Linked DNA regions of Daphnia pulex. The protein of the gene in region 5 purifies or fractionates together with the protein of the main gene of each other region. This does not show direct contact. Links are inferred from orthologs where the notes say so. Each region holds a gene or a part of one and is shown on either strand. Other genes may lie near its edges. The genes, in order: serine protease HTRA2, mitochondrial-like; E3 ubiquitin-protein transferase MAEA-like; zinc finger MYND domain-containing protein 19-like; ubiquitin-conjugating enzyme E2 H-like; armadillo repeat-containing protein 8-like; muskelin-like.

Evidence for each region.
Region 1: the proteins of armadillo repeat-containing protein 8-like (region 5) and serine protease HTRA2, mitochondrial-like purify together in Homo sapiens (affinity purification with mass spectrometry; 5 studies listed by BioGRID and IntAct, with this or other methods). This does not show direct contact. The link is inferred for Daphnia pulex from reciprocal best matches to the Homo sapiens genes ARMC8 and HTRA2.
Region 2: the proteins of armadillo repeat-containing protein 8-like (region 5) and E3 ubiquitin-protein transferase MAEA-like purify together in Homo sapiens (affinity purification with mass spectrometry; 5 studies listed by BioGRID and IntAct, with this or other methods). This does not show direct contact. The link is inferred for Daphnia pulex from reciprocal best matches to the Homo sapiens genes ARMC8 and MAEA.
Region 3: the proteins of armadillo repeat-containing protein 8-like (region 5) and zinc finger MYND domain-containing protein 19-like purify together in Homo sapiens (affinity purification with mass spectrometry; 4 studies listed by BioGRID and IntAct, with this or other methods). This does not show direct contact. The link is inferred for Daphnia pulex from reciprocal best matches to the Homo sapiens genes ARMC8 and ZMYND19.
Region 4: the proteins of armadillo repeat-containing protein 8-like (region 5) and ubiquitin-conjugating enzyme E2 H-like purify together in Homo sapiens (affinity purification with mass spectrometry; 3 studies listed by BioGRID and IntAct, with this or other methods). This does not show direct contact. The link is inferred for Daphnia pulex from reciprocal best matches to the Homo sapiens genes ARMC8 and UBE2H.
Region 6: the proteins of armadillo repeat-containing protein 8-like (region 5) and muskelin-like purify together in Homo sapiens (affinity purification with mass spectrometry; 4 studies listed by BioGRID and IntAct, with this or other methods). This does not show direct contact. The link is inferred for Daphnia pulex from reciprocal best matches to the Homo sapiens genes ARMC8 and MKLN1.

Annotation. Positions count from the first base shown.
Region 1 is NC_060026.1:11,305,064-11,309,718, forward strand, and holds serine protease HTRA2, mitochondrial-like, read right to left. Parts: upstream 3,026-4,655; 5' UTR 2,974-3,025; coding exon 2,766-2,973; intron 2,690-2,765; coding exon 2,581-2,689; intron 2,481-2,580; coding exon 2,351-2,480; intron 2,228-2,350; coding exon 2,141-2,227; intron 2,072-2,140; coding exon 1,944-2,071; intron 1,871-1,943; coding exon 1,801-1,870; intron 1,734-1,800; coding exon 1,571-1,733; intron 1,466-1,570; coding exon 1,303-1,465; intron 1,236-1,302; coding exon 1,073-1,235; 3' UTR 1,017-1,072; downstream 1-1,016. Other genes in the region: TAF6-like RNA polymerase II p300/CBP-associated factor-associated factor 65 kDa subunit 6L, read right to left, coding at 1-1, 77-421, 484-666.
Region 2 is NC_060017.1:5,614,102-5,618,345, forward strand, and holds E3 ubiquitin-protein transferase MAEA-like, read right to left. Parts: upstream 2,511-4,244; 5' UTR 2,391-2,510; coding exon 2,352-2,390; intron 2,262-2,351; coding exon 2,076-2,261; intron 1,991-2,075; coding exon 1,801-1,990; intron 1,746-1,800; coding exon 1,419-1,745; intron 1,357-1,418; coding exon 1,206-1,356; intron 1,152-1,205; coding exon 959-1,151; intron 899-958; coding exon 797-898; 3' UTR 753-796; downstream 1-752. Other genes in the region: protein TRC8 homolog, read left to right, coding at 2-284, 351-415, 475-601.
Region 3 is NC_060023.1:10,669,881-10,674,657, forward strand, and holds the start of zinc finger MYND domain-containing protein 19-like, read left to right. Parts: upstream 1-1,376; 5' UTR 1,377-1,391; coding exon 1,392-1,508; intron 1,509-4,630; coding exon 4,631-4,777. UniProt on the Homo sapiens protein: May be involved as a regulatory molecule in GPR24/MCH-R1 signaling.
Region 4 is NC_060019.1:1,500,927-1,505,403, forward strand, and holds ubiquitin-conjugating enzyme E2 H-like, read right to left. Parts: upstream 2,955-4,477; 5' UTR 2,827-2,954; intron 2,746-2,826; 5' UTR 2,496-2,745; coding exon 2,443-2,495; intron 2,315-2,442; coding exon 2,238-2,314; intron 2,178-2,237; coding exon 2,010-2,177; intron 1,947-2,009; coding exon 1,819-1,946; intron 1,746-1,818; coding exon 1,611-1,745; 3' UTR 1,051-1,610; downstream 1-1,050. Other genes in the region: glycerate kinase-like, read left to right, coding at 3,683-3,842, 3,904-4,161, 4,227-4,477. UniProt on the Homo sapiens protein: Accepts ubiquitin from the E1 complex and catalyzes its covalent attachment to other proteins. E2 ubiquitin conjugating enzyme that transfers ubiquitin to MAEA, a core component of the CTLH E3 ubiquitin-protein ligase complex.
Region 5 is NC_060025.1:9,364,638-9,369,608, forward strand, and holds armadillo repeat-containing protein 8-like, read right to left. Parts: upstream 3,151-4,971; 5' UTR 3,053-3,150; coding exon 3,026-3,052; intron 2,965-3,025; coding exon 2,891-2,964; intron 2,826-2,890; coding exon 2,701-2,825; intron 2,632-2,700; coding exon 2,542-2,631; intron 2,476-2,541; coding exon 2,282-2,475; intron 2,220-2,281; coding exon 1,641-2,219; intron 1,580-1,640; coding exon 1,397-1,579; intron 1,328-1,396; coding exon 1,118-1,327; intron 1,052-1,117; coding exon 710-1,051; intron 643-709; coding exon 476-642; intron 415-475; coding exon 384-414; 3' UTR 218-383; downstream 1-217. Other genes in the region: stathmin-4-like, read left to right, coding at 3,600-3,624, 3,697-3,746, 3,803-3,928, 3,991-4,167, 4,225-4,365, 4,428-4,568, 4,637-4,729. UniProt on the Homo sapiens protein: Component of the CTLH E3 ubiquitin-protein ligase complex that selectively accepts ubiquitin from UBE2H and mediates ubiquitination and subsequent proteasomal degradation of the transcription factor HBP1.
Region 6 is NC_060028.1:9,649,481-9,654,091, forward strand, and holds the start of muskelin-like, read left to right. Parts: upstream 1-1,485; 5' UTR 1,486-1,650; coding exon 1,651-1,733; intron 1,734-1,827; coding exon 1,828-1,897; intron 1,898-1,956; coding exon 1,957-2,099; intron 2,100-2,162; coding exon 2,163-2,493; intron 2,494-2,549; coding exon 2,550-2,738; intron 2,739-2,810; coding exon 2,811-3,456; intron 3,457-3,529; coding exon 3,530-3,773; intron 3,774-3,830; coding exon 3,831-3,951; intron 3,952-4,024; coding exon 4,025-4,477; 3' UTR 4,478-4,611. Other genes in the region: uncharacterized protein LOC124208606, read right to left, coding at 1-1,131, 1,280-1,301. UniProt on the Homo sapiens protein: Component of the CTLH E3 ubiquitin-protein ligase complex that selectively accepts ubiquitin from UBE2H and mediates ubiquitination and subsequent proteasomal degradation of the transcription factor HBP1.

The DNA.
Region 1 (4,655 bases), on a different chromosome or scaffold from region 5:
CCTACAGTTTGATACAAATTTCAGTTGATAAAGCATACCATTAAGTAAACCTGTAAGAACACAATCTGCTGTTCACCTTAACAACATATTCTGAAGTGCTAAGTAAAGACTGAGAAATTTTCTCAAAGTATTGAAAATAAATCTCTGGTTGTAGTTTGTCTTCAGAATCTAAAGCAAGATACTGGATTGTCAATTTCATAGGAGAGTAAACTTCTACATCTGTTTCAATGGGATATTCCTGTGTGAGTTCCACTACTCTGTCTAAAGAACTGTAAATATCAAACTCTGGTAAATACAAAAAATCCTCTGGAGTAGAATTGGGTCCATGAACTTGTGGAACATCACTCCAACGAAGGGCAAGGTTAACATCATCCTTGGTTAGTTTAGATCGTTTGCTGTGACGTAAAATCTGACTGCAGCTCTAAGAAGCATTCAATCAATTGAAATTGATAAGTTATGATAAAAGAAGAAAAATATCTATACCTGTATTAATTCCCTCAATCTATACGAAGTATCTTCAGCAAGACTTTTTGAAAGAATTGATGGTACATTTGGATACCCAGCTGAATCAGCAATGAGCTGAATGGACTCAGGAGAAATTTGGATGAACTTCTTTTCAGACCCTGCTTTGTCAGAATTCTTCTCATTATTCACATCATTGTTCATCTTTCTTGTCACACAAAGAGATGGTTTCTCTTGTATTGAAAAGCAGTGCAATTGATACAAACATTAAACAGATAATCTCATGAGGCAAACTAGTAAACTGGGAGACTTCACGCCGGAGATTTCAAACTGAGCCGTCTGCAAACAACCTCCATTCCACCGCCAATATTTAGTTATTTTGTTAACAGTAGATGGCTCTGAGTGCTTGTATGACTATGTGCCCGCCAAAAATGCTTATTCGATTATTCAAACTTCTTGCGGGGCAAAATTTTTTCCACAATCACTACCTCAAAAGCTCAAATCAGACTAAAAACTCTTGGAGCTGCAAGTATACAAAAGAATTGAAATTCATGTTGATTTTAAAATTTTATTCTTTGCATGACAAATCAAACAGAAAAGATTAATTTGATCAATCTTCCAAGGAAATAAGGAAATTAATCATTTCTCGTTTCCTGATGACTGATATTTTAATTTGACTTTCATTTTCTTCAAGATTTTTGTAAATATCCTGAGAATTTATCGTAGGTTTATCGTTTATCGACACAACGACATCACCTGGCTGAAGTCCTCCCCTATATTAAAATCTTTATATCAATCCATCTTTGAAAAAAAAACAATACAATTTTAGCGTAGTCTTACCAATGTGCCGGACTTCCAAGAACAACTTTCCATACCAACACACCATGTTTTACATTAGGTGGAAGTTCAGTACCCCTCAATTGTAGTTCGGTTATCAGTTCGGTAGTAAGAGTCAACAATGTAACACCCATATAACGACGTTTAAACTCCTTCTCAGTATTTTCTAACAGCAACAACAAAAATATATGGAAAAACATAATCACATACAACACTGAGGATCTTGGATATAAATATCTTTGTAACACATAAAATTAATAAAGAATAATACCTTTTTCTACTCCTTTATTTGAAGAACAATTCTTGAGAATGGAGAGAAAATCTTTTACATGATCGATGGGAATTGCGAAAGAAATGCCTGCAGTAACTTTCATAGCGTTGACACCAACTACTTCTCCGTCGAGATTAATGAGTGGGCCCCCCGAATTACCAAACTGAAAATAAGACCATATGTTATTGTGTTTTTAAAAATACAAGAACAATGACTATTGCTAAATTTACAGTGATTGATGCATCAGTCTGAATATATTCCATTTCTTTTCCTTTATTTAATCCAAGCTCTGAGCTTCCCCTAGAAAGAGATTTACAGAATTATAGGCTATACCTTTTAGCTTTTTAAACATAGGCTACACTATTTTATTTACCTATTAATAGAGGATACCACTCCAGCAGTGATGGTGTTTGTTAGAGATAAAGGACTGCCAACTGCAACTACCCATTCTCCTGGTCTGACAGTAGATGAGGAACCAAGCTTCAGAGTTGGTAATCCTTTCTACAGGAACCAATAAGATGTTATTTTTGTGAGATAATCATCTTTAACAGATGCTGCTGTTTTTCTTACACATTGAATTCTCACAGTAGCAAGATCAGTTACTGTGTCAATATTTTCAATAATCCCTTGGAACATTCTTCCATCATGAAGCTTAACCTAAAGATACAAATTTCCATATTATTGAGGGCATAATTTTTTCCTTGCCTACTCATTGTGTTTAATACTTCACCATCAATTTTATACAGTATTTACTCTATCATTTCATCCATAATGATTTACCTGTACCGAACTATTTGGTTGTCCAAGGACAACATGTGCATTTGTTACAATTAATCCATCACCTTCAATAATAAAACCTGACCCATGAGACACAGTCTGCTGTGGAGCACTAAAATTGTAAAAAGAATTCCTGCAAAACATAATGTGAAATTTAAATTTTGTTTAATGTGAGTATTAAGTTGGTTGAATGTGATTCAAAAGAAAATTAGATTTTAATAACTGCATGAAACCTTAAATTTGATTTGATTTCAATAAAAACAACTCCAGGAGCCACTTTTTCAACAACATCAGCAATGAAATTACACTTTTTTCTTGGACTTTCATCATTAAGTTCACCACCTTAAAATCCAATAATCAAATGAAAATGGATAATGACCCAAATAATAAAATAAGTTATTATGAAATGAATCCAAACTTTTAGAAGTGGCAAACAACTTATTATTGTGTAAATGGAACTCGAACAGGAAAGCTCCTAAGGCAACTCCTGCTAACTTCCACGATATATTACACCAACAGTATTTCTGCAAAAATTCATTTCGACTTTTAAGGGAATTATAACGAAGGACGGCAAACTTTCGGTTTATAAAAGTAAGTTTTTTTATCATACGATAAATCGAAGACATTTGTACTGTTTATGAATTGTAGCTACTGTTATGGTTCAAGGCAGGGTTGCCACTCTTAATTTTGTTCATCCCAAAATACGGTCAGAGCAGAGCCATAGACAAAGACCACTGGTTGATGCTGTCCATAAGAAAATTAACATGGCCAACTGTCGCCAGAATTCTTGCTACCCTTCCTCCGATTTTCCCGATTCTGTTTTGCTTGTCCTGCCCTCTAGTGTACGTTTTGTTCTCTACACTCTGCTTACATCTATTCCATTGCAATCATTCAATTGATTTCTCTACTTTTGCAATTGGCAAACGTCAAAATTTAATACAAAATGACTTTTAAGTAAAAATTTGTATGAAAAAATTACCTAGAACTTTTAAACGCCAGCAAAGAATTTTACCAAGACAGAAGGAAAACAACTTTCGTCTGCAACACCCTTGGTAGCCACGGTGCAGTACAGCAGTTTATCCGCTAGGGGCAGGACAAGCAAAACAGAAACTCGGGGTCAGTAGGGATAGGGCTAAAAGGATAGGACATGCGAAACCAGTCTTCTTTATCTATGGCAGAGCTCTGGTCAGAGCTATAGAATACTGGTAACTAGCGCCACTGCCATGTTAACTCCTCTCGGAAATTTTCTCTGGGGTTGAAGCAGAGTTATAGATGTATAACCATAGTGGAGTAAAGTTATATTTTAACCTAGAACAAACTGCAAGAATTGATTTTTTTAATGAACTTTATTACTATCAAGGTAATAAATACTTGTTCAAAACCCTCCGAAGAAATAATTATATTTACTATTAAAAATATTGAATTTAAATAAAAAATTTCATTTAACTATAAATTAAATACAGAATTTAAAATATTAAAAATAAAAGAAAGTCATGAAATGATACCTTGTGATAGGCTACATCATATCACCAAATATGAATGTTTTCTGTCGAACGGCATTCTAGTTGTATAATTTAGAAGTTGTTACATTTTTAAAAATTTACAGTGCCGCCAAAAAGGTTTAACACGGGCTCTTATGCCCGATAGTCCCTAAGTAAAGTGACGATAACTTATAAACTATAGGACCTAAGTTTTTTCTATTTTTATTAAAAAATAAAGAACATCCTAGCGTATAAGAATTGATCGTTGAATTATGGTGTTAATAGGACTTTTTATTTAGTTATTCATACTTAAACTTAGTCTATGATTTTGTCTTATTAAATACAACAATTCCCACCACGAGTGTTGTCATCGTTTTCCTGTCAAGCAAGCAAAAAATTAACAAAGTTTCAGTAGATGGCCGCTGTTGGCGCTGACAATTAGGTCTAAATCGATACTTGAGCTCATTTTCCCACTTTCGATTCGCGATATTGGCTGCAACTTTAGGAAAAATTTCCGAGAGGAAAATTTTACAGGCAGTGGTTCTACCATCATCATAGCTCTGGGTTGAAGCCAATTTTAGCAATCGATAGTGAAAATCGGAGCTAAGATATCGATCTCGACTCTTACTACTCCTCCACTTTTCCCTCCATTCCTATACTATTCCTATACCCTATTTCCCCACACACCCGCCGTGGCGCTTACAGCTACGGGACAGGGCAGGCCATGGACTACTTAAGCTAGAGGACGGGACACTCGTCCTATCCCGCCATGTTATAGCTTGTCGGGTGGATTTTTAATCATATTTTTTTAAGAAGGGTCAATCGAT
Region 2 (4,244 bases), on a different chromosome or scaffold from region 5:
GATTTGCCGGTCGAGTATTAGAGTTCCTCGTCGGTTTATTTCTACTCTGCAATTCTGCCTTCATTTTGATTTACGAAAATGGTGGAGCCATTCGTGCCGTGCTGGTGGGTTTGCACGCTTATTTCAATTTGTGGTGTGAAGCACGAGTCGGTTGGAAGATTTTCACTCGGCGTCGGACAGCCGTTCATAAAATCGCCACCCTCGAGACAGTTAACGAATTGGACAAACTGGATGACGTTTGCGCAATTTGCTTTCATGACCTAAAGCCAAGTGGCCCTAATAATGTAAGTCAAATTTCGCCGCCAAATAAGATTGACAATGGCCTATAACACATTCAATTATTTTATTAGGTGACGGTCAAAGTAGTTGTTACTCCGTGCCGACATTACTTTCACGCCGTCTGCCTCCGCAAATGGTAATTCTCGGTATGAAATTATCACTGACACGATTTCGTAATGGTTTTTTAATTCACAGGTTGTATGTGCAAGATCGTTGTCCCATGTGCCACCAGACTCTTTGGTCGCAACTGAATTCTTCTGTCGACGAAGCCGCCGGTCCACGCTACGAAGATCAACTTCAGGAGCACTTACACTTGGATTGAATGAACCACCTAATGTGTATGCAGTCTATAATTTGCCGAATAGTTGATTGAATTGCTGAAAACTAGTTTAGAATGATCGTCAAGAACGCGTATTAAAAACCCGTCTTTCAAAGTCCTCGCATCATCAATAAAAACTGTCCGTGCACGAAAATAATGCTCAAGAATTTTGTATTGGAAGGTAGGGCCAAAAACAAGCTACATAACATAGACTTTCTCTGCATCTTTGACAGCGAAGACTTCCTTGGTGCGAGGACATGTGACCATTCCATTGTTGCTCGATGCCATAGTCCGCAAGGCCTGTCGATTTAAAACAAACATAATAGGGTTGGACTGGTGCACGAAACCTGAAATAAATACCTGCTCTCCGTACACACGGCCGTTGGGTAGCATCATAGGTAAGTTATGTTCGTTGAGAGGTAAGCCCGAAAGGCGGCAGATCAATCTTGATTGTGAGCAATGAGCGTGAGGTAATCGTTCAGCCAACTTGTTCAATGGTTCTTGGCACACGGGACATTCAGCATTCCTCTGATCCATTGGGCGATAACATTGCCTGTAAAAATTCAATCGATTAAAGTGAAAAATTGGAAATGGCGTTAAAACTTACGGAGTTTTCATTGCGGAGAGTCCAGCTTGCAACGCAACAGCCAACACAGACAATGGAGCCAACTGGTAGAGGCGGAAATAGTCTTGACGGAATTCTTCAGTCAAAGCATTCCACCTTGACGTATCGAGCAACTCCTTGTATGGTGATACCTCTGAAATGCGTACACGAATTAGTATCCTTAAATATATCCGGTTACATTTTTCTAGAACTCACGAGTGTCAGAAGGGAACGCAAGGAGGGCGAGAGCGTGTTGAAGTTCCTCCCAGGGCACATCGTCCATGTTGGTCAAGTACTTCCGGGCGTGCCGTACAGCGTCCATTCGGCGATCAGACCTGATGAGTTCGACAAATTCTTGTTGTCGGAGATGAAATTCCAGGGTAGATTTAATTTTCCTCAGTTTGCTTTTGTGATCGTGAATCCAGGCCAAAGCAGCTTGAGTCTGTTGCTGGGCCAGGGTCAATTCAACATTTCGTGCAACCAAGAAAATGTCCAAGTTAGTAAGCTCTGCCAATTCTGGATTCTGCTCAACCATTTTCTGAGCTGTTCAAAAAGAAACTGATTATAAGGAAGATGTTGGTATCCTAAGGATATTTACCAGTGTTGTAATGACCAGCTCTCAGTAGATGTTCAACAAGGTACCTTTCTACTCGAGTTTTTTTCCAGAGTGAGTATGTGATGGAAGAATCAGTAGTTGGAATAATACCAACAGCTCCCAATTTGAGGTGTTCCACCCTTCTTTTGCAGTTCTGAGCAGCATCCAGCTCATCACTGATGGCTTCTTCAACCTACATCACACATTCCATGTGAGTAAAATTATTAAATAATTATTAATTATTTAAATATTGGTGTAAAGGGATGCCAAGTTGGAACCTTTCGTTTCATTGTCTGTAGTTTGTCAACAGTAGCTCCAAGCAGACTGCATATTTGGTCTACTTGGACAGGTGTTCGAAACAAGCTTTTTTCCAACTCAGTGATTGAATTTTGTACATGTGACACTTCCCTGTCAACAGTTTTCTGCCCTGCACGGAATTTTTTATTCAAGACTTCGTATGGGACCTGCGGGTGGTGAACAAAAGAGAACCCAACGTAAGACAACCGATCCTTGTTAATGAAATAAATATTTTGAAAAACTGAAAGATTCATCACCTTGAGCGTTGGATGTTCCAACGACTTTAAATCAGCCATGACTAAAGGAAAATGGCAAGCTCTTCAAAATACTGCCTAATGTGATGAAAGTTGAAGAAGATTACAAGAACTTTGGGGGGAGAGGGTTGGATGAGAAGAAAGAGAAAAGTAAATAGTCGATAAATAACGCCATCTACTGGTGAGCAAAGTAACACCAAACCGTGTCATCTAGCGGTAATAAATATTTGTTTTCTTACGTCATAGTATACGAAGCCGAACCGTACAGCAGAGATATTTGGACTGGGTGGAAATATTCACGGTTGATTTCGTTGTCCGTCTCGAACTTAAAGTTCTGAATGTAGACACGTCCCGTACCCTAGCGTTTTCTCTCGAAAAGTTGGGAAGCCGGTTATGATCTCAACGAAAGCGTCCGTTGTGCGCCGGAGGGTGTCTGGTTTAAAAAAATCTAACCGCGACCACCATTTCCAAAGCTTACGGTTAATTTACACCACTTTGTAGATCCGTATCAAATTGTATCATTGTTACTGAATAATGCAAAGCACAAGTGATTGAAACGAAAGTTTCACAAACTTTGCTTTACTCTGTGTTGGTCCTATACTTGTCCATCTGCAAACTTTGTTATACTCGATGCTTTTATCTCTGTTGATCTCATCGGTTGGAATTCCATTACAGTTGGATGCAACCGCAATGAAGAAGAACAAAAGAATTCAGATTGGTCTTATCAAAGAAGTATATTTTTCGTGCGATAAATAACAAGGATGATAAGACGGTTAATAAGAAATAAATTGATTGTCCATCGGCGCCGTCATCATCTCTATTCTCTTGTCAGACGCGCCGAGAAGGAGAAAGGAATAGTAAACTATCAAGAAAAAGTTTTCCCCTTTATTATTTCGTTTCCTGGCGAATATCCAAGGACAACCGGACTTTACAAAGAGACGAAGAGGACCGGTCTCGGATACGCCTAGTATATAGCATAGCAGACTGTGGTCTTTATGTATTTTTGTTTCTCTTCCTAGATGTCGCTAGTTGAAAATCGACCATTTTCATACCGTATGCTTAGCACTTGGACGGCATTTTGGTCATGCTAAGTAACAAAAGTACGTCTAGAGCATTAACCTTAAACATTACTGAGAATGGAATGACTAATTAAAATTCTACAACATTCAAGCTATCCGATATGCTAAAATACTTGTTAATTAAAGGTAGGCAACAGGGAGTTTTCTAGGAAACAAAGATTTGGCGATTTAGTGTCTGTGACCAATTTACGTGTGCCGTATAGCGGTCGTCGCATCAGTCCAGTCCCGGTTGTCCTTGGATATTCGCCAGGAAAAAATAAAACTTCTACAATAGTTTTCCCCTACCCCGGCGCGTCTGACAGAAGCTGAAGAATAGAAACGATGATGGTGGCGACGGACAGCCAAATTCATATACTATTCACTTTTTCATTCCTTATTCTTATCAGATATTTCTTCTATAATACCTTTTTCTCATTTTTTTCCTTTAGATTTTTTTTCTCTTTATTAAATAATAATTCGCTGTACATTGTGTGATACGACCAAGAAACTTTATGTTAGAAATCCAAACTTTTTTGAGAAAAAAAAAATAAAACTATTCCAGAAAACGCTAGATTACACGGTAGAGATTTTTAAATTTAGCTTCGGACAACAAAATCCAGCAAAAATATTTACCCGCTCCAAAATTTTCCCGTGTTTCGTGCGCATTCGATATAGCCCAAGGCTTTTCTTTTGTGATCACAGCACACGTGTCCTGCCTTTAGCCAACCTCCTCCTCCTTCTTTTCACCCCCCACCTCCTCAAAAACTCTTTGCGCGCACTCTGCCGAGTGTGTGAACAAACACATTTTTCCTATTGGGGATTCACTATATATTTTTCT
Region 3 (4,777 bases), on a different chromosome or scaffold from region 5:
CTGCACTTGCACACCATAATTCACACAACAAACAAAACAAGTCGACAAAGAGGCGCGTAAAACTACCCGGTCGCACTCTGTCGGCCTTTTCGAATTGTTTTCTCGTCGTCGTCATGACGACGTGAAAACGTGGTGGTTGCCAAATTGGATTAAATCGAAACTAATCCTGCATAAATAATGTAGTCCACAACTTCAAAAAAGAAAAAAGTCACGAGAACACACACACAAAAAAATAGTAAAAGACAGAACTCGTTTATTCTGAAGCTATTACCCGGGTTATTAAAAAAAAGCAGATTAAAAAAACTGATAAGACGTTTTTATATTTTTCGAACCGGTGATGCGGTTGTTGTTCCATCAACTTTTTTTTTATATTTTATTTTAAAAAAAGAAAAAAAAAGTCCGGTGTGAGTTTTGTTATTTGTTTTTATTTCTTGATCGTGACGAGGTCGTGTGCTGCTGACGCCCGTTCGACTGAAAACGAACACTGGTTTTCTATGATAATTTTCAGCCATTCCTTTTAATCATGCTCTCTACTCTCTCTAGAGAAAAGAGAAGAGAAGAAAAAAAACTGTTAACGGGACGTATATATACAACACAGACGGGAAACACGTACACACAGCCGGAGAAGAAAAAAAGAAGAAGAAGTATAACGTACATTAACATTGCCTGAGGGAACAGCAGTCAGCGATCCGGTCGCCCGTGTCACACACAACGGAAGAAGTTGCTAAAGCCAACAACCCGCATGCTCTATCTCTCTTCAAACACACACACGCACATACAAAAAAAAAAGCAACGGGTCCTTTTGGCTGTGCATGAGAGTCGTGGAGCGAGTCGGCGACAGCTGAGAATCGTGAGCCGTTCTGCTATAGCAGTGCAGACAACACAGAGAGAGACCAACAAAACCGGCTATGGTGAAATAGTGTAGGGCTAACTATAAGAGAGTCACATTATTCCTTTGTGCACAGAGCTCTCTCGCCCCCCTACCAGCAGAAAAATCAAACTCAAGTGCGCGCGCTCGGAGAGTCTCTACTTACTAGCAGACGAGCGCATCTGAAAATTCAGTCGTCGGCCACAGCTCAACTAGACCGGTTCGACATTAGCCACGGTCCATTATATTTACTGCAAGTGGGGTGGTGTACGAAGAAATTTGGATTTGTGCAAAAAAAAAAGATAATTCCACCCCCAAAAATAATTTAGTTTTGCCGATGTGATTAGATTTTGGTTAACTTTTGGTATATACGTAGATATATCGTTCTGTGTGCATCTTCCATACGTTGGATGTGTATGGAACTGTCATCGACAATTCTTGCCATTCGTTTTGTTGCCAGTGTCAAAAGTGAACAAAATTCCCTTTGCCAGCAGTGTGAGAGAGTCGAGACACATTTTCAAAGATGAAAATCTTACCCGCATCCAACGCCAGTGGAGCCTCGTCCTCGTCGTCTTCAACATCCTCACAAGTCTCCGGTTTGAAACTGGGCATTGTCCGACTCGGCCGGGCAGCTGGAAAGGTTCGTTTTTTTCTTTTTTATACTATTTTATTTCTTAACACAAACAGTATTCTCAAATCTCTTTTTGACTATTTGATCAACTAGCCTGTTGGCCCCTTTCAATCCTTTCCCTCTCGGCATTCATCTGTCACTCAGCCGTCCTTCTCTATCTCAGTCCGTTTAAGAAATTCAATTGAAAAATATTTTTTTTTTTTTGCTACTCTTCATCTTGAAAAAATGTTTGGAGAAAAAAAAACTGAGATTGACACTGCGTTGGATTGCAAATGTCAATCTTTCTGGGCAAACGGTTTATCCCCACGTCGGTTGTATATTATGAAAAGAGGAGGAGGACCCTATCCTATATCACAGATGAAGGAAGGATCAATACATTTGAGTTCCTGCCCCTCCACCAGGCAGAAAATTTAATAGAAAAATGACTATGGATCGACTACGGGAAATCACTCGGTTGGGATAAGATAAAAAGAGAGCCTATGGTATACTGTAGGTGTAGTTACACAACAACAAGAGCCCAAACAGAGACTCGTGTTTGCGATAGTTTCATGGACGACGGCGGCACAGTCGGTACACTGACGTCAAACACAAGCGGTTGGGTTGAATGATGCCAAGTTCAACTGAGAGAGCTAGAAAAAAAGGTCAAAGTAAATATACAGACGAAGAAGAAAATAACCAAAAGTGATAAGAGAACTCGAAGAGAACAAATTTCGTTTTGGACTTTGTGTGTGTCGCTACGAGTCATCGATAAGGCCGTCTCTCAAACAAACAGTCTCTTTTTTTTTCCTTTTTTTTTAACGTGGAACTATGGCAACCGCCAATAAGAACTTATTGTGGGGCTGTTTTCAAATATAAGATATACAAGACCGGATTTTGTCTCCTCACCGCGACAACGAACTCGGAAATCTTTTTTCAAAATTTTTGTTTTTTTTTTCTCTTTTTCTCAAAGTCAAAGCGATGACTCGGCGCGGCCGTGAAACCGGACATTTTGCGGTTTCGGGGGAGAAAAAAAAACCAAAAAATTTCTCTGTGGTTTTTTTCCACTCTTTTTGTTTTCACTCGGGAACTTTTTGTTTCACTGTGGGAAAATTTCGATCTTGAAAAAATATGTGTAAGTTGAGAATAGAAGCGAAGCTTTACTGGAATAGTTGTCGAATGCGTGTCCATTTGCAATGGCTCATCAATCCCTGCTGTGTTTTTTTTGTTTCCCCTGAAATGAACAAAGTTTTTTTTTATTACAGTAAAAAAAAAACTAAATGGAGCGGAAGTTTGATTATGTTTTTCCGTCCGAAAATGTGAATATCACTTTTTTTTTCAATTCCGGAAAAAGGGAGTCTAACTTACTTTTTTTTATTTTTATTTGAGAGCTGTCATGTTCTCCTCCCAACCACCCCTCTGTAAGGAATTAGTACACATAGGATGTTGCCACCACTACTGTTGTTTAAAAGTTGTTTAAAAAGAGGGAAACCCTTCAGTGGTCAGCCGGCGTCCGCTCATCACCTGGTGGTGGTGGTGGTATATTTCATCTGTTATTTTTTTCCTAAAAATGAAATAAAAGTTGGTTTAGCCTTGGTAGTATAGTCTGCGGTTCACACCACAAAAAAAAAACAGTCCGAACAATGAACTTTCTACTTTACTCGAAAAAAAAAAAAGAGGGAATGAACAAACGCCGGAAGTGCCGGAAGCTCCGGAAGGAACCCAAGCAAGAAGCTCTGGTTACAATTTCGTTATTGTTTGTTGTCATCGTCTACTCGAGAAAAAAAGAAGAAATAAGTAGCAACTGCCATGGTGTAGTATAGACCCGAGTCGCACACACACAAACAGATTGATGCCCCGGAGGGCTCAAACCCGTTTGTTATTTCCAAACATTCAAGCGGGGGAATGAAGAAAAAGAAGAAGAAGAAGAGGCAGATGACTTATTTGCGTATTACACGATTGAAGGGTTTGGGTTACGTATAGAATCAGAATAAACATGATGAAAAGCAATCAACTCTCTGGACTGAGAGAGAGGAAAGACACACAGTCACGACTTTTTCAACATCAACTCGAAGAATATCTGCCTGAGAAAAAGCTCGTGTTGTTGTTGTTGTTGTTGTTGTTTCATCACGGCGTTTCTTCTTTGTGTGTGTGTTTTTTAATTTATAAAAAATTCCCCCCCGACGGACGCGCAATGAATCGAGAACAAAAGACCGTCTAGTTTTTCATTTTTATTTTTTTACGATGATAAGGCCAATCTTGATATCCCCTTAATGTGTGTGTGTGCATTATATGTGTGCGCCTTGATTCTTTATCTAATTTAGGCGACAACTTAATGATAATCCGGGCGTCATTGGCAACACAAGAGTTTAGAGAGATTAGAGAGAAAGAGAGAGTCTGTGTGTCTAACTAGATTAACTCTACACACTAAGTAGTCAAGTCTGACACACAAAAACAAAAAAACACTAAGAGAGAGACAAGCTGCTGGGCAAGAGAAGAACAGACTAGTCCAGTCAGAGGAATATAGACTGCGGATGAAGTGGCGGCCCAGGCCTGGCCTGGGCCTTGACTTCTCAGGGGCTGGTCCCATTGAATGATCTCGGATCATACAAGGACGAGTCCCCCCCCCCATCCTTCCTACCCCACCCAAACATGAAAGTATTGATCGGTTGTGAATGTAGTGGTGCGGGTTCTCTTCGGGAGCCAGACACTTGGCTCCTCTCTCCGTCCGCGCCTTTTGCTCGCTCCGTTTGATGGGAGAGGACACACAGACGCGGGATGAGAGAGACAGAAAGAAAAAATGTCCACCGTCGCCGCCCTTTTCAACTCGTTTCCTCCTCCTCCTCCTCTCCCGCTGGATTCTCCGGGAACTTCAAATGGGGGGGAGGAGGAGGATAAGGAGGAAATCCCGTAGCAACAACCGAAAGAGAAGAGAAGAAAAAGGAAAAGAGAAATTGCACGCACGGATGGGAGACGGGATCGATCGTTGAGGATACAATCACGAGGCTTCTGAGCATCCGGAATCGACCTTCCTCCTCCCCCCCCCTTCTCTGCATCCGGTCCAAATAAAAATCCCCGCTCCCGAAAAAAAAAATCCTGATGATTATTTGACGTCGAATTAATTAACTCAATTTTGGTCTGAAAATGTATTCCAGGTCAAGTACGCTCTGCTGGACGAAAGGGACATTGGACTCGTTCAGGAATACGCGTTCGAAGCTCGGATGGACGTCGACCGGAACGGCGGAGGCGCTCGGATTTTCGCTTATGCCTACGACGTCGCCCGCGGCCGCAGTTCGGGTGCT
Region 4 (4,477 bases), on a different chromosome or scaffold from region 5:
GGAACTCCTCGTGCCATCTAGATGTTGAGATTAACTTCAAACGTTTCGGCACAATTTTCTAGACAATGTTTTTTATTTAAAACGATAAGAAACTAGTTCTTCTATACAGATTGGAGATTTATCTCTAAAATAACCGGTTATCGTGCACTCCCTCCATTGAGTGAATTACCTATTGAATCGCTACCACTTCTTTGGAAAAATCCGTCAACAGCACGCGCGCGTGACTCTGTCCCGATGATAACAACGTCGAAAAAACATATTTTAGAAATCTTATTTTTTATTTTTTATTTATGTGTATGTGTGTGGTTAGCGACAGCAGGCAATAAAAAGATTTTCCTTCGTGTTGACTGCTTATACAGCCTACGCAAAACAGTCGGCCAGAATCACAATATAAACAGGTGCGTTTATCTTTGGGGTTGGCCGTCAACGAGACACACATTTCTTCCCCCACCAAACAAACGTTCCGGTCGGGTTCATTTGTTGGAACACCTGTGGCCGATATCATTCAAAGTGAAAGTTTTCTTTTGATTGAGAGATTTGTTTGGTTTTAAGGTTGCACTATAAAATGTCACCTTTGAAACAAACAAACAAAAAATTGACAAAGAATTATTTATTTATTTATTTTTTTAGAGATTTTATTTTTCTTTGAAAAACCAAGTATTCCATCCCGACATACAAATTTCTTAAAATCGCTTGGTTTCATTTCCAACTAAAACAAAAAATCGATTTTTTGTGGTCCGCATATTCCGCGGTGCTGTTACATTCGTGAAAAAAAGAAACAATCGAATCTTCTCTAATAAACGCACGGTCAAAAATAGTTAAAGGTGAAACAAAAGTACGAATTAAGCTACAAGAAAAGAAAAATCTATTCGATTCTCCTGTCAAGTGACGAGAGAACCAAAACAAAAAGAACCTAAACATCTTGTCAAATTGCTACCGAGCCTGTGAAGCTCCGCTACGATACTTTTGACATCTCGACACACAAATACACACACACGCCGCGCATATACGTTGATATTATTGTCTTTTTTAAAAAGTGTTTTTTTTGGGGGGGGAAGATCAAAATGAGTTGATGAGCGATGCTAAATCCACACGAAAGATGTCAAACAAAAAGATGAATTATGTGATGGAAAAAAGAGGGGGGGCTCTCACTCTAAAACATTTATTCTCTGACTGCCCAAGGCATCTCCACTTTTTGAATGAAAATGAAATTTTTGCTGCTTCTTTTTAAAAATCGGGAAAAGAGCGGAGGGAGGAAAAAATTGGTTTTGGCAATTATTTTTGTTATTTTTTTCTAATACAGAAATTTTTTCAAAAGGATTTGAAACATCCCGAGAATAATTAGGATGCAAAGTTTTGTTTCCATAACAAACGAGCAAAGAGAGAGAGAGAGAGGTGCCAGAGGTGGTGGGTGATTTATCGCAATCATTAATATAATATAGCCCATTATCGGGATGAAATTTTGTACGATGAAACCTTTCTTCCGTTCAACGATGAATGAATGGAAAAAAAGAAAAAAAAATGTTAGCCACTTCAATGAGAGATAGAAGAAGAGGGGGAGAAAACGTAATAAACGACGAAATTTTTCATGTTAAAACAACGAAAAAGTCTCATAACTCCATGTCCTGAGCTTCGTCCTCACTGAAGTCCGACATGGAAGATTCCGAATCTGACGACAGGTGAGCGGCTTCTTGGGCTTCCTGCTCTCTTAAAGCCTCTTCAGTTGCAAATTTTTTCACATAGTCCTTGTCAATAGAAAAGGTCAGGTGTTACTATTGATCTATACGGATTGACACATGTCAGACATTGAAAATGTACCTGCACTTTTTTCTTGTACTCTTCGGGTTTGTGAAGATACATGGCTGCTGCATCGCCATTCAGTGGATCAATTGGATTTGGGTATGTGAGAAGCTGTGGCAGAAAAGACTCGAAGATATTGGACAAATCTGCAGATGAAAAGACAATGTCTCATTATTCATAAAGATTTAAGTACATTTAATGCAAAATACCATATAAAGCTGTCCAAGCTTGGTTGATGACATCAAGACAGACTGTTCCTGAGACCTCGTCAATGTTTGGATGGTAAACCTTGTTCATGAATCCAATAGATGGTGATTTGAACGGATAGTGCTCTGGCAAGTGAACTCGGACTTTCCAAATCCCTCCTTCATACGGTGCTACATTTTTCAATGAAATAATGACCTGAAAACAACCATGAATGATTTCTCATCACTTACTTCCTCTTGGACCATAAAACTTGACAGCAAATTCATTAAGTCCTCCAAGGATAGTGACCTCGTATTTGCTTTCAATCCTGAAAACAAAAACAGCGGGTATTACAATAAAGACTGTCAAAAACAATAATCCACAAACAAAAGAGTTTGAAGCAAAACATGTGTGAAACTCAAGGCCAGATATGATTCTGTTAAAATAATAACTTACAATTTAATGACATCTGTGTCCATTCGACGTTTTCCAGCACTGGGCGAGGACATTTTTGTTTGCACTCCAAAATCGACCACCTCGCGGAAAACTTCAGTCTGGGTTTCCCCCTCGAAATAAGAGTAGGTCCCCTTCTTTTCAGGTTAGACTCGATTGATTTGTGAAATTATTTTCGCCACAACTAATAAGAGAGGACACAATGGCCGACTGCTAGTCCCAAAAATTCTAATCCCTTCTCGCCTTGTGTGTGACGTCACCTTTATTTATAAGCAGCACGAGGAAACTGGTCTCTCAAGGTATTGCCTTTTGTACAGTAAAACAACAAATGCAGTCGATTAAAAACGGAAGAAAAACAAGCTTAGAATCTTGGAAATTATGTACTACCCAAAGATTTACGCAGCGAGCAAATGAAACAAACGATGAGCTTAGCACACTCTCTCCTGTCCTTCGCCACTGGCACTGTACGAATAACCATAACAAAGACAGAAAGGCTAAAAAATCCACCAAGTCAGCTGTGGCTCGCCACATTGGGTTTTGCAACCTACGCTCCTTTATTTATCGCAGTAAAATGGAGGTGGTTGCATAACTCTGCAAATCTAAATTACGTTTAATATTTTCCCTTGATTATTCCGATTACTTTCATGCATTTAGAATCATGTTTCGTGTTAGTTTTTTAACGCAGCCCTGGTCGTGTGGCCGTAGCGCGCGTATTTTGAAACGATGGATTGAAAATGTAGGTCAGGATTCTGCGCGTAAACAACTCCGTCGTATAATGGAGAAAGGACCAATCACTATAGACTAGTAAAACTGGTTAAAAATGAGAGAATTTGTATCGTTTGAATAGGTCGTCGAACGTGATCACGATCAGGCTGAGAGTCCAACGTTTACATTTCCGACCCAGTATCAATTGCTTATTTACATAAAAGATATGGTTACAATGAGCTATCTGAAGGCATGTTTACAGCAAAGATTCCTATGGCTTTACTCTCAAAGTTTTAGCTTGATTGTATTGCGTGATAGCGAATTTATTGATGGCTAATTAAAATTAACTCATCAGCTGATTTCGTCTGCCTTAACAAATTCAACGTGTCATTAGCAGACGAACGAACTGTAGGGGAAAAATAAAGAATTACACGTTCAAATCACAACAATAACTCGTAAGATTCGTGAAAAAATGCTTTTGCTTGCTACACGTTTTAAGCATTTATTGCCATTAACTTGAAAGAATTGTTGGCTGGGAATGGTGAACGTCATGAATGAGATCAGACTCATCTACAAAGCTGCCGTGGATGCCGTGAAGCCTGGTCAACTTGTAAATCAAGCAGTCAGATGTTTAGGAAATGTAGTTACAATTAAGGAAGAATTGGAGATTGAAGTTGACAACAACTGCCATGTGATCGGTATACTTTAGTATGAAATGTGTCTAAACAATATTTATGAGTTCACTTTTTGGATATATAGGATTTGGAAAGGCTGTGTTAGCAATGGCTCTCCAAATGGACACAATTATTGGGCACCACACGATGAAAGGAATCATCTCAATACCACATGGAGTGATGTCACAGTACAGTCTGCCAGATCAGTTTCTGAAACGGTACACCATCTATGAAGGTGCGGTCAACAACATTCCCGATGAAGAGTCCTTAAAAGCAACTAAAGAAATAGAAGAAATGGTTTCAAACTTGAAAGACTGTGATGTTTTGTTTGTATTAATATCAGGTATTTCCTTATTCCGTATTTCCTAAAGATTTTAACATTGCTAGAATTAATGCTTTTATTTACAGGAGGTGGATCTGCATTACTGGCATCACCAGTAGATGACCTCACTCTGGATGACAAGCAGAAAACCATACAACTATTGTCAAAGAGCGGTGCAAACATACAGGAATTGAATTCAGTAAGAAAGAAACTATCTCGAATCAAGGGCGGGAAACTAGCTCAGCTTTCATACCCAGCTACAACCGTGGCTCTAATTCTCTCTGACGTTATCGGCAACCCACTTGATGTCATAGCCAGCGGACCGACTGTCGAAAAT
Region 5 (4,971 bases):
CCGGCGCGTGTAGTATCGATCACCTCCTCCTCGGCTCCTAACCCAGCAGCAGCAGCATCGAAATGCCATACGCTAAAAGCTAATTAGGATCCCCGCGTAATTGGATATATCTCCTTCTTTTTCCTATGTAATAATGGCGCGCCGATGGAAGGGCGGAGGACAAAAGAAGATTCCGGCTTTTATCTTGTATCTTTCTTTTTTTTTCGCCAACCGATTATTTCAGATTATAATAAGACATATATTATTATTATTAGAATTATAATAATGATGATAATAAAGTTATCTTATGAGACATAAACAGTTGCCGGATTCCGAGTATTTCCAAATTATGTAAAATACACAAATATTTGATAGGGGCGTGGTGTAGGAGACTTCCGATTTGTTTAGGAGAACTGCTGCAGTGCCGCTTTGACCCTGTTAAAGACAAGGAAACGTTATTATGCAACGTCAAGGTCAATGAAATTCTACGTTTTACTTTTCGAAGAGTGTGGCGTCGTTGGTGCAGAGGAGTTGCTGCAAAATTCGATAAACGCCCAATTCCCTCAGACGCGCCTGACGTTCGAGGCAGCCGTTGTCTTCGTTCCACGCCAAATTGCCGATGCAAAACGTGGCGGCCGTCTGCAGTTTGACATTCGAATGCGACTGGAAGAAAATAGAATTGACGTATTAAACTTGGGAGGCGATGGATGGATTTAAAAATATTAGATACCATGTAATTGGTGAGTTTGCGCAGGACGTCCTCATTGGACATGATGAATTCCTTGGCCGTTTCACCGTCAGCGATATTGGCCAGAATGCACAGGGCCTGTTCCTTGACGTCGGGGCTGTGCTCGCCCTCCAATATCAGAATGACGGCCTGCATGATCTGACGACCGTGCTGGGCCATAATCAAATCAATATGCGGCTTTGTCGATAACAAATTCCTCAATAAGCCAAGCGTTTTCATGACGACGCCAACTTCGTGGTCAGAGAGGAGCCGGAAGACTTGGTCCGTGCCCAGCGACGACAAGATTTGAATCTTGATTTTCTGCTCGGCCTGGAACGCCATGTTCTATATAATATAAGACGGGGGTCAATTGAATCAATTTTGTTGTCTTTGGACTCGATGAACAAATACCATCAGGGCCCAAATGCCGTTGAGTCTCAGAGCGGAATCTTCTCTACGCGTCAAATTGCATAAAAGTTCCACGGCACCAGACTCGAGGATGGGCTCCTTGGACGGCGAGAATTCCAACAGCAAATTGCACAGCGTCGACGACGCCACGGCCAAAATGTCTTCGTCCGCATTCTGCAATAACTTCATCAGCGGCTTCCACACTGAATGATCCTAATTGAATTGAACGTCACCTTGTTACAGACCTTGGCTCAAATTTGTTTGGGGGGGTGATTGAATTACTTGAAAAGTTGTTCGTAGTTGCTGGACAGATCGAGACAGAGAATGAAGGCACCGGACGGCAGCCAACTGGACTCTGTGATCCCCACATTCCGTCAATCCCGTCACCACGTGATCCATCAACTGGTCCGTCTCAATGATCCTTTTACGGATGTCTTCGTCATTGGCGCCCAACGATGCAAATGCCTTTTGACAAGGAATCATATTAAGTATCTCTTTCTCGTTTGAATGGAATTGAATGAATTACCCGGAGAGCGGCTTGTTTCAGATTTTGAACTTCTTTGGCGCTGGCAGGAGCGTCTTCGTCAATCGACTCGACTCCAAGTTGCTGCACCGACGAGTTATCTCGAGTTTTAGCCAAAAATAGCGAAAGATTTTGAATGAGGTGGTCGGAAATGGAGGCCACTCTTTGCAGTTCCGTGTCAACTTCTATCAGATAGGCCAGTGTTTCCGCACCAAGAGCCTTTTCCGTTCGCCTGTTCTCTTTCCGGCACATCCGCACCAGACAAGGCAATGTCTTGTACAAGATCTTGCCATCGTCAGCACAGATCGCTCCAGCTCGATGTAGATAGGTCAGACAGCGGGCTGCTACAAGCTGCATGGCCACCGGCCTGTCACGGGCCATCAAAGTCACCAAGTGGTCCGTCACGGATTTGCCGCCGAAGCTGGAGACAGTCAGAAGGGCCGAAACGCGTTGGTTCTGATAGCACAGGGAAGCGATAGCGTCCAAAGTGGCTAACTGAACATCGCCTACAGGAGAATTGAGCAAAGCGGCCAGGGCTGGAACGGCTCCGTTGGCGCAGAGAATCGCTTGGTGTTCAGACGTCTAGGTTCAAAAAAGTTGAAATGTATCAATCTTTCAGGCATTATTGACATTGTACTATCCACCTTGCAGGCATTGGTAAAGATGGAAGTGACAGATATTTGGTTGCAAACTGACAGTGGCATGAGTTTCAACAGCTGGGGCACCAATCTTGAATCTGCAAACAGGAGGTCAGTCTTTGTCGCTTCGTTCTGAAATAACTGTTGCAGGGCTCTGAGGGCAAATTCAATAACTTGAGGATTTGTTGATGCGCAGACATCTGTCACATGAAAAAGAAAAGTTTCAGATTTTAGTTTCAAATTAGCTACAAAGGAAATCACGTTACTGTTTAGTAGGAAAGGAATAACTCCCGCTGCTGTTAGGGATTTAATGTGGTTTTCATCTCCTCGTGCAAGGGATCCAATCACTGCTATCACTAAAAATCAACAAAGAAAACCGATTGAATCTATTGTTGTGACACCCTATTTCTGAATGTGATATTTACCCTCCAATTTGAGATCATCACCACCAATAGGATCGTCGAGTAACTGAATCAATCTTGGAGTAATACCCTGTTGAATGATCATATTCTTGGCCTTGTTGGAACCGATAATCATGTTTTTGATGTATCTATGAAAAAACAACTGTTGGATTATCACTTTCCTTTCTTGGAATACAAATACAAAAATATTTACATGACAGCATCTAGGCATTTTGCACTGTCTACATCGTAAAGGTTGTCAACGTACGAGTTACAGCTCTCAACGTCCTAAAATGACCAAATAATTGATAAAAATAACCAGAATGGAAAAATGTCCCGAATTCTTTACCATGATTGAATGAATTAGTTTAGTCATTTTTCTTCCCAAATGAAAATGCGTCTCTGTTCGAAAATGGCTCAAGCCGGATTGTCTGCTAGCAGACGCTACTAGTACATAGTGCAACTTTTTCACTTTAGATGGCGTTGTAAAATTGAAAAGGGCGCCAGTTTTCGTTTTTCATAAAAATCAGCTGCAGGGCAAGAGTTTTCACTTTTCCCGCGCCCGCAAAAATGGGGAGGGGGTAAGTAACAAAAGGCGGTCGCCATGTCAACTGAACCCCAGTAGCCAGTTTCGTTATTCTATTTCACTTGCATTCATTCGCCATTTCGCTTGCAAACGAGAACGTTGGTTCGAACTCCTCCACGAGACTTTTTTCCTTTATAATTTTGTCTTTGCCAAGGTAATTGATTGTTCAACGTTAATTTACACTGTCATTTGAGTAGAGGGTTAATATTTGTACTTGCCAATTGAATTGTGAATCCTTGTTTAAACTTCCTTTGTTGGAATTGATCGTGACGAGGACCACGCCTGAATTCATGACGTAATCTTTTTATTGATCTTAATCGATTAGGTGTCTACAGCTATGTCTAGCCCTATTGATCAAGAAGGTATGTAGGATTTCATTGGTCAATCTTTTGTGGTTTAGAGTTGCCTAACTCTTGGTATTATGGTGCTTGCAGTTGCTGCTATTCGTGGGGAAGAGAAATCCAAGGGAGGATTGAGTTATGAGGTAAAGTCTTGCCACATGTTCACTGAAACATAACTTCATGGTTCATTGTCAACTAGGTTATCTTAGCAGAACCAGTAAGCGATCGCCCCCCTTCACCACTCACTGTTTCAACACCAACTCGTCCTCAGCCCTCTGAAGAAGAGATTGAGAGGAAGCTATTGGCGGCCAAGGAAAGGCGTGAGGTTGGTCAAAGAAGCAAATTAACTCGTCACAGTTACTTAGGGGTGTTTTGTGATTTCTCCAGGCTAATAGGTCCATCAATGATGTGGATGAGAAAATCAACCAAGCTGTGCAAAAGAGGCAAGAGATTGTCTCAACTTTTGTCACCAAAACCAAAGAAAATTTAGATGCGAAGATGGAGGAATCTCAGGAGAAGAGAGAGGCTCACTTGAACTCTCTCAAGACCAAGTTGAAGGAGCATGTAAGTGTATTTCATTGTAAAGATAAGTTATCTGGTAAACTTATTCATCGTGCCTAGTTGGAACGAGTGGAAACAGTCAGGGTGACTAACGATACCAAGCTTCAAGAGATCCAAAAGCAAATTGACGAGAAGCTGAAATCAGCTGATGAGAAGCGTGACGAAATCATCAAACAACTTCAAGAGAAGCTACGCCTTCACGTAATAATGTCTTTAATTATTCGCATGGAAACTAGAAATTAATTTAAATTAATTTATTGCAGGAAGAACATATCAAGTCTGTCAAACAGAGCAGTGAAGAAAAGACCAAAGCCATGGAGGAGCAAATCCATTCCAAGATTCAACTGGCGGCTGAAAAACGCGAAGAGATTGAAAAGGAGATGCTGGAGAAGCTCAAGGAACAGGTAATTTGTTATTTTTGTTCATTCCTAATGTAAAAGATGCCGTTAACAATAATTGTGTGCGGTTGTAGGATCGTCGCGGTGAACTTGCTCGCCAAAAGAAGGAAAATCGTCTGTCTGGTGGGGGCCAATGTGATGAAGGAGAGACTGCCTCATCCGGCTAACATTCCGATGAACTTGCCCATAGAATCGCGAAGACGTTTGAGCTTTCTTTATTAAGTTACCCCTTTATTTATTGAATTTCATTTGTTCTGGTCAACTTGGGGTGGGTCTTTGCTATTAATTGTTTTAACGTTTACAATACGTTAAAAATTGCAGCTACAAGCGCACATTGAACTCTTTTTTCTCTGTTTGCCTTTTCCTGTACGTTGGTTTGTCGTTTCCAAGCCATTTTGCTATCTCCCCT
Region 6 (4,611 bases), on a different chromosome or scaffold from region 5:
TAACCGCTTGAGAGTCAACCTTTACGGTTTCGGGGTTGCCTGGATGGTTGGGGGCTTCTGTCCATCGTATAATTCCGGTTCTAATTACTTTCTTTTTCGGATTAATCATTCTTGCACGCCTTACAAGACTAGTTTCGGTTGCAGACAAGTTGGCGCAAATTGTTTGAAGCGGGATTCGGACTTCAAAACTTGATTCACTGCTATGGCCTCTTGCTTTGGCCAAAAACTCTTTCAACCTCAAACCCTTTGGAAGAGCTAGAAAGTGACCGAATTGCACAGTGATCGAGGATCCTTGCTTTGCTCCATGCCTCCACGAACAGTCGTGATTTATCAGAGCGAAATCAACTAGAAGAGAGGAACTTGATGGACGATTCCAAGTTGTTAGATGAATTGTTACATTGCTGAGTGTCCGTGTCCGTGCCAATGCCTGCAAAGATGAGATCACTTGATCACCAATCCCTCGATGATAAAGGTAGATATTGTCGACTCCAAGTAGCGAGTAGTAATGTATGAAATCGGCAAGATCATCTATGTGCCAATAGGGATCATTCGATAATACACAAAGAGATGTTGCGTGATCTTTAGGATGCGTCGGGCCAAGATGCAGCGGAACTTTAAGCGGTTGTAAAGACGATTTACTGTCGTAAAGGGAGAAGAGGTGAGAATTGCCGATCATTTCTGGAACATTGCAGACAACCGAATATGCCACGTAGTCGTTATCTGTTTCGATTTGTTTCCATTCAATAGTTCCTTCAAATTTGTCATCATTGACATCTCCAGATATCAAAGCACACACAGTGTTTTTCATTGAAAAAGAAGAATTTCGTTTCACAACTGCCACACTGTTTAAACTCCATCCTTTTTCGTTTGCAACCTTGAAGGCTGCATAAACTTGCACTTCTGAATATTTGTGCCAGAAATCAGGAATGAATTCAACAGATCCATTAGAACAGATTCCCTGAAGTTCATATGTTTGGGGACCATCTGTTACTGTTGAGCCAAAAACATTCAAGACTTCCAAGACATTTCTCAGCCTGTCATACTCGTGTTTGTAAATAACAAAACACACCAAACTGACAACCGATAAGATGAAAAGAATTAGTTGGTAATATTTCCTCATGATTCTCCCTCCTGAAATAAAATCAAAACTAAGTTAAGTACTTGTCAAAAAATGGCAAACATGGCAACAAATTCAACACATAAAGGGTGCCTTTAAAACTAATTGACAATAAAATAAATGCAGACAATATCAGACTAAACCAAACATAACCGTTTTTACCTGAGGAACGTGCTTCTTGCATTAAAAATGAAAAGCTAACGCGTTAATTAGGTCATGATAAGTTATCTAAGCAGATTCCGGTTAACAACTTCAAATCTAACTAGGGTAATAAACGTTTGAAAACGTCACGAGTAGCACAAGAAAATTCCGGTGAACAGTTTATACTGCTACAGCATACGCGGAACGCAGCGCAGCACACGTAAAAACTCAGCTGATGCGACGCTCATCTTCCTTCAATTGTTTTTTTCCACAAATGTTTCCCACTTTTCCCAGAGTAGAACTTACCATTCCTTTGGGAGCTTTTTTTGTTGTGAAAACGAATCTCAATTTTTCCCAACTGAAAATTGAAACATCACTTTCAAATTTTTACAATGGCAGAAGCTGGACTTGAAATGAAGAAACTTAATTATTCGGTTGACAGTTGCTCCAGTTTTTCCGCTACCTATTTCCCGGAGTAAGTTGCATTAAAAGACCTTGAGACTGCTACTCTGGCGCATGTTAAAATATGTTTACCAATATTAATTATTTGTATATTTTTTTTTAAATAGGAATATCATGAAAGATTTCCCAACAGATCAGGCATCTAGGTGGTCTTCCGATTCAAACATACCCCCACAGGTTTATATTATCTTAAGCATATAATTTGAACAGATGTTGTAGATAATATTTCTTTTTAGTTCATACTTCTTAAATTGGAGAGGGCATCACTTATTGAAAGCATCACCTTTGGAAAATATGAAAAGACTCATGTATGCAACCTTAAAAAGTTCTGTATATATGGGGGGCTCCATCCAGAGAACTTGGTTGAGTTACTTAACAGGTATAAAATCAAATATTGTACATGATTTACCCTTACAACTAAGCCCAACCATTTTTCTTGCAGTGGTCTAAAGAATGACAATCAACCAGAAACATTTTCTCTGAAACATCTAGTTGAAGGGAAAATGTTCCCCTGTCGTTTTGTTAAAATTGTTCCTGTTCAATCATGGGGACCCAGTTTCAACTTCTCCATTTGGTATGTTGAGTTGGTGGGTACTCAAGACTGGGAAGCAGTTAAACCATGTATTCAATGGTACAATGCTTACCGGGAAAGAGAGGCAATAAGATTGTGCCTGAAACATCTCAGGCAAAATCAGTGTCTTGAGGCATTTGAATGTTTGCAGAAAAGAACCAAAGTTCAGCTTGAAGATCCTTTACTCAGTGAACTGCATTGGGTATGCATAAGAAGTCCCTCTCTTTCGGATATCCGTTGAATATTGACTTTTCGTAGGCCATGGTGGTTAAAGGCGATTACGAAGCGACCGAACAGTTACTTCATCGAGCCGTCGACAATGGTTTATTCGGTCCGTACATCCATTCTCAAGACTATGTACCAGAGTGGTCAAGAATTCTTCCGTGTATCGACGAGGATCCTTGCCATCGTCCTGGTATGAGAGGCGGCCATCAGATGTGCATCGATGTAACTATAATAGAAACTAAATTTTAAAATAGTTAACGAACGTTAATATCAAATGTCTTGTTTACTCGACAGACCAACACAGAGACCATATATCTATTTGGTGGTTGGGATGGTGTCCAGGACTTGAATGATTTATGGTCTTATTCAGTACCAAGTAATTCATGGACGCTGCTGAGCAATAATACTGAAGAAGAAGGTGGGCCTAGTGCCAGATCTTGTCACAAAATGTGTCTAGATCAGGATCATCGCCAGCTGTTTTGTTTGGGGCGCTACCTTGACAGTCAACACCGACACACCAATAATCTGAAGAGTGACTTTTACATGTATGACATTGAACAAAGAAAGTGGCACCTGATTTGTGAGGACACTGCTGCCGTTGGCGGCCCTAAGCTGATATTCGATCATCAAATGTGCCTAGATCCTGAGAAGAGAACCATCTACGTTTTTGGAGGAAGAATACTCAGCCCAGCGCCCGGCTACCCTGAAGAACGAGGATTGGCAGTAGCTAGTAGTAGTGGCATGGCCGGAGCTTTTCTGTCAGAACCTCAGTTTTCCGGACTCTATGCTTATCACATACCAACGAGCACATGGCGCTTATTACGAGACGATCCATCAGGCTCACCAGGATTAGGTCCCATCGAAATGCGGTCTCGAATTGGCCACTCGATGTTATTTCATCCGAGCGAACGCAAGTTATTCATCTTTGCGGGTCAACGAAGTACGTTTTAAATATCTCTATCAATTCTCGTTCACACTGTTAAACTATTTAAAACATTTGCTCCGCACGACAGGCAAAGAATATTTGAATGACTTTTTTACCTATAACGTGGATACGGGTGAAGTGACGACTGTGACAGACGGAACAAGACGAAGAGACCCGGCCCAAATTCCAGCTGCCGGTTTCACACAACGTGCCACCATCGACCATGAGCTCAACGAGATCTATATCCTTTCTGGCCTAAGTAAAGACAAGGACAAGCGGGACGACAACGTCAAAAATTCCTTCTGGGTTTACAATATTGTTGATAACAAATGGTATGATACTCATCTTGTTTTGAAAAGGATTTTGTCATGAGAAGATTATGTTTGCAGGACGTGTGTCTATCGAAACGATAGTTCACGTGAGAAGGAGTCGGACACGAGTAATAGAGTCCCAGGCGAGGAGCCATGCCCGAGATTTGCCCACCAACTGGTTTACGACCATGTCAAAAAGGTCTGTATCAAATGTCGCAGTCAATTGGAAGTTCCATTTACTCATGCGAGACATCAATTGACTGTTTTCACAGGCCCATTACTTGTTTGGAGGGAACCCTGGGCGTTCTAACGATCCCAAGATGCGCCTTGACGATTTTTGGTCACTTCGATTGTGTCGTCCAAGTCAAGGCCAATTGCTGACGCGCTGTCAATTTCTGATACGCAAATGCCAGTTTCGCGAGCTGACTGAGGCTGATCCTATACGGGCTATGTTTTATCTACAGAACAATTTGTCAGCTGTTGTGGATCGTACCAATGACGAACAAATGGCCGAATTCCACCAATTGACCAATCTTCTCTTCCGCACCGAAGAACAACAGGAAGAAGATGAATTGTTAAACGGCAAAGTCGATGCCGAATCGACAGTTAATAGCTCCTATAGACTTCGATCGAGTGTTTTCGACGCATTAGCTCGTTTTTTTCCAGACTACATGGCTCAACCGAGATTCAGTCTCACCGACTTTGTCGCGTTTGATAAGGCTTGATCACTAAGATCAAATGCCTTCTCAAATGGAACCGCAGCTTAACATTTCAATAACCCTTGCCCGAAACGTGTTCAGATCCCAGGTCTTCACTCATCTATACATCATGTGCAAAATCTCTTTTTACCTTCCTATTT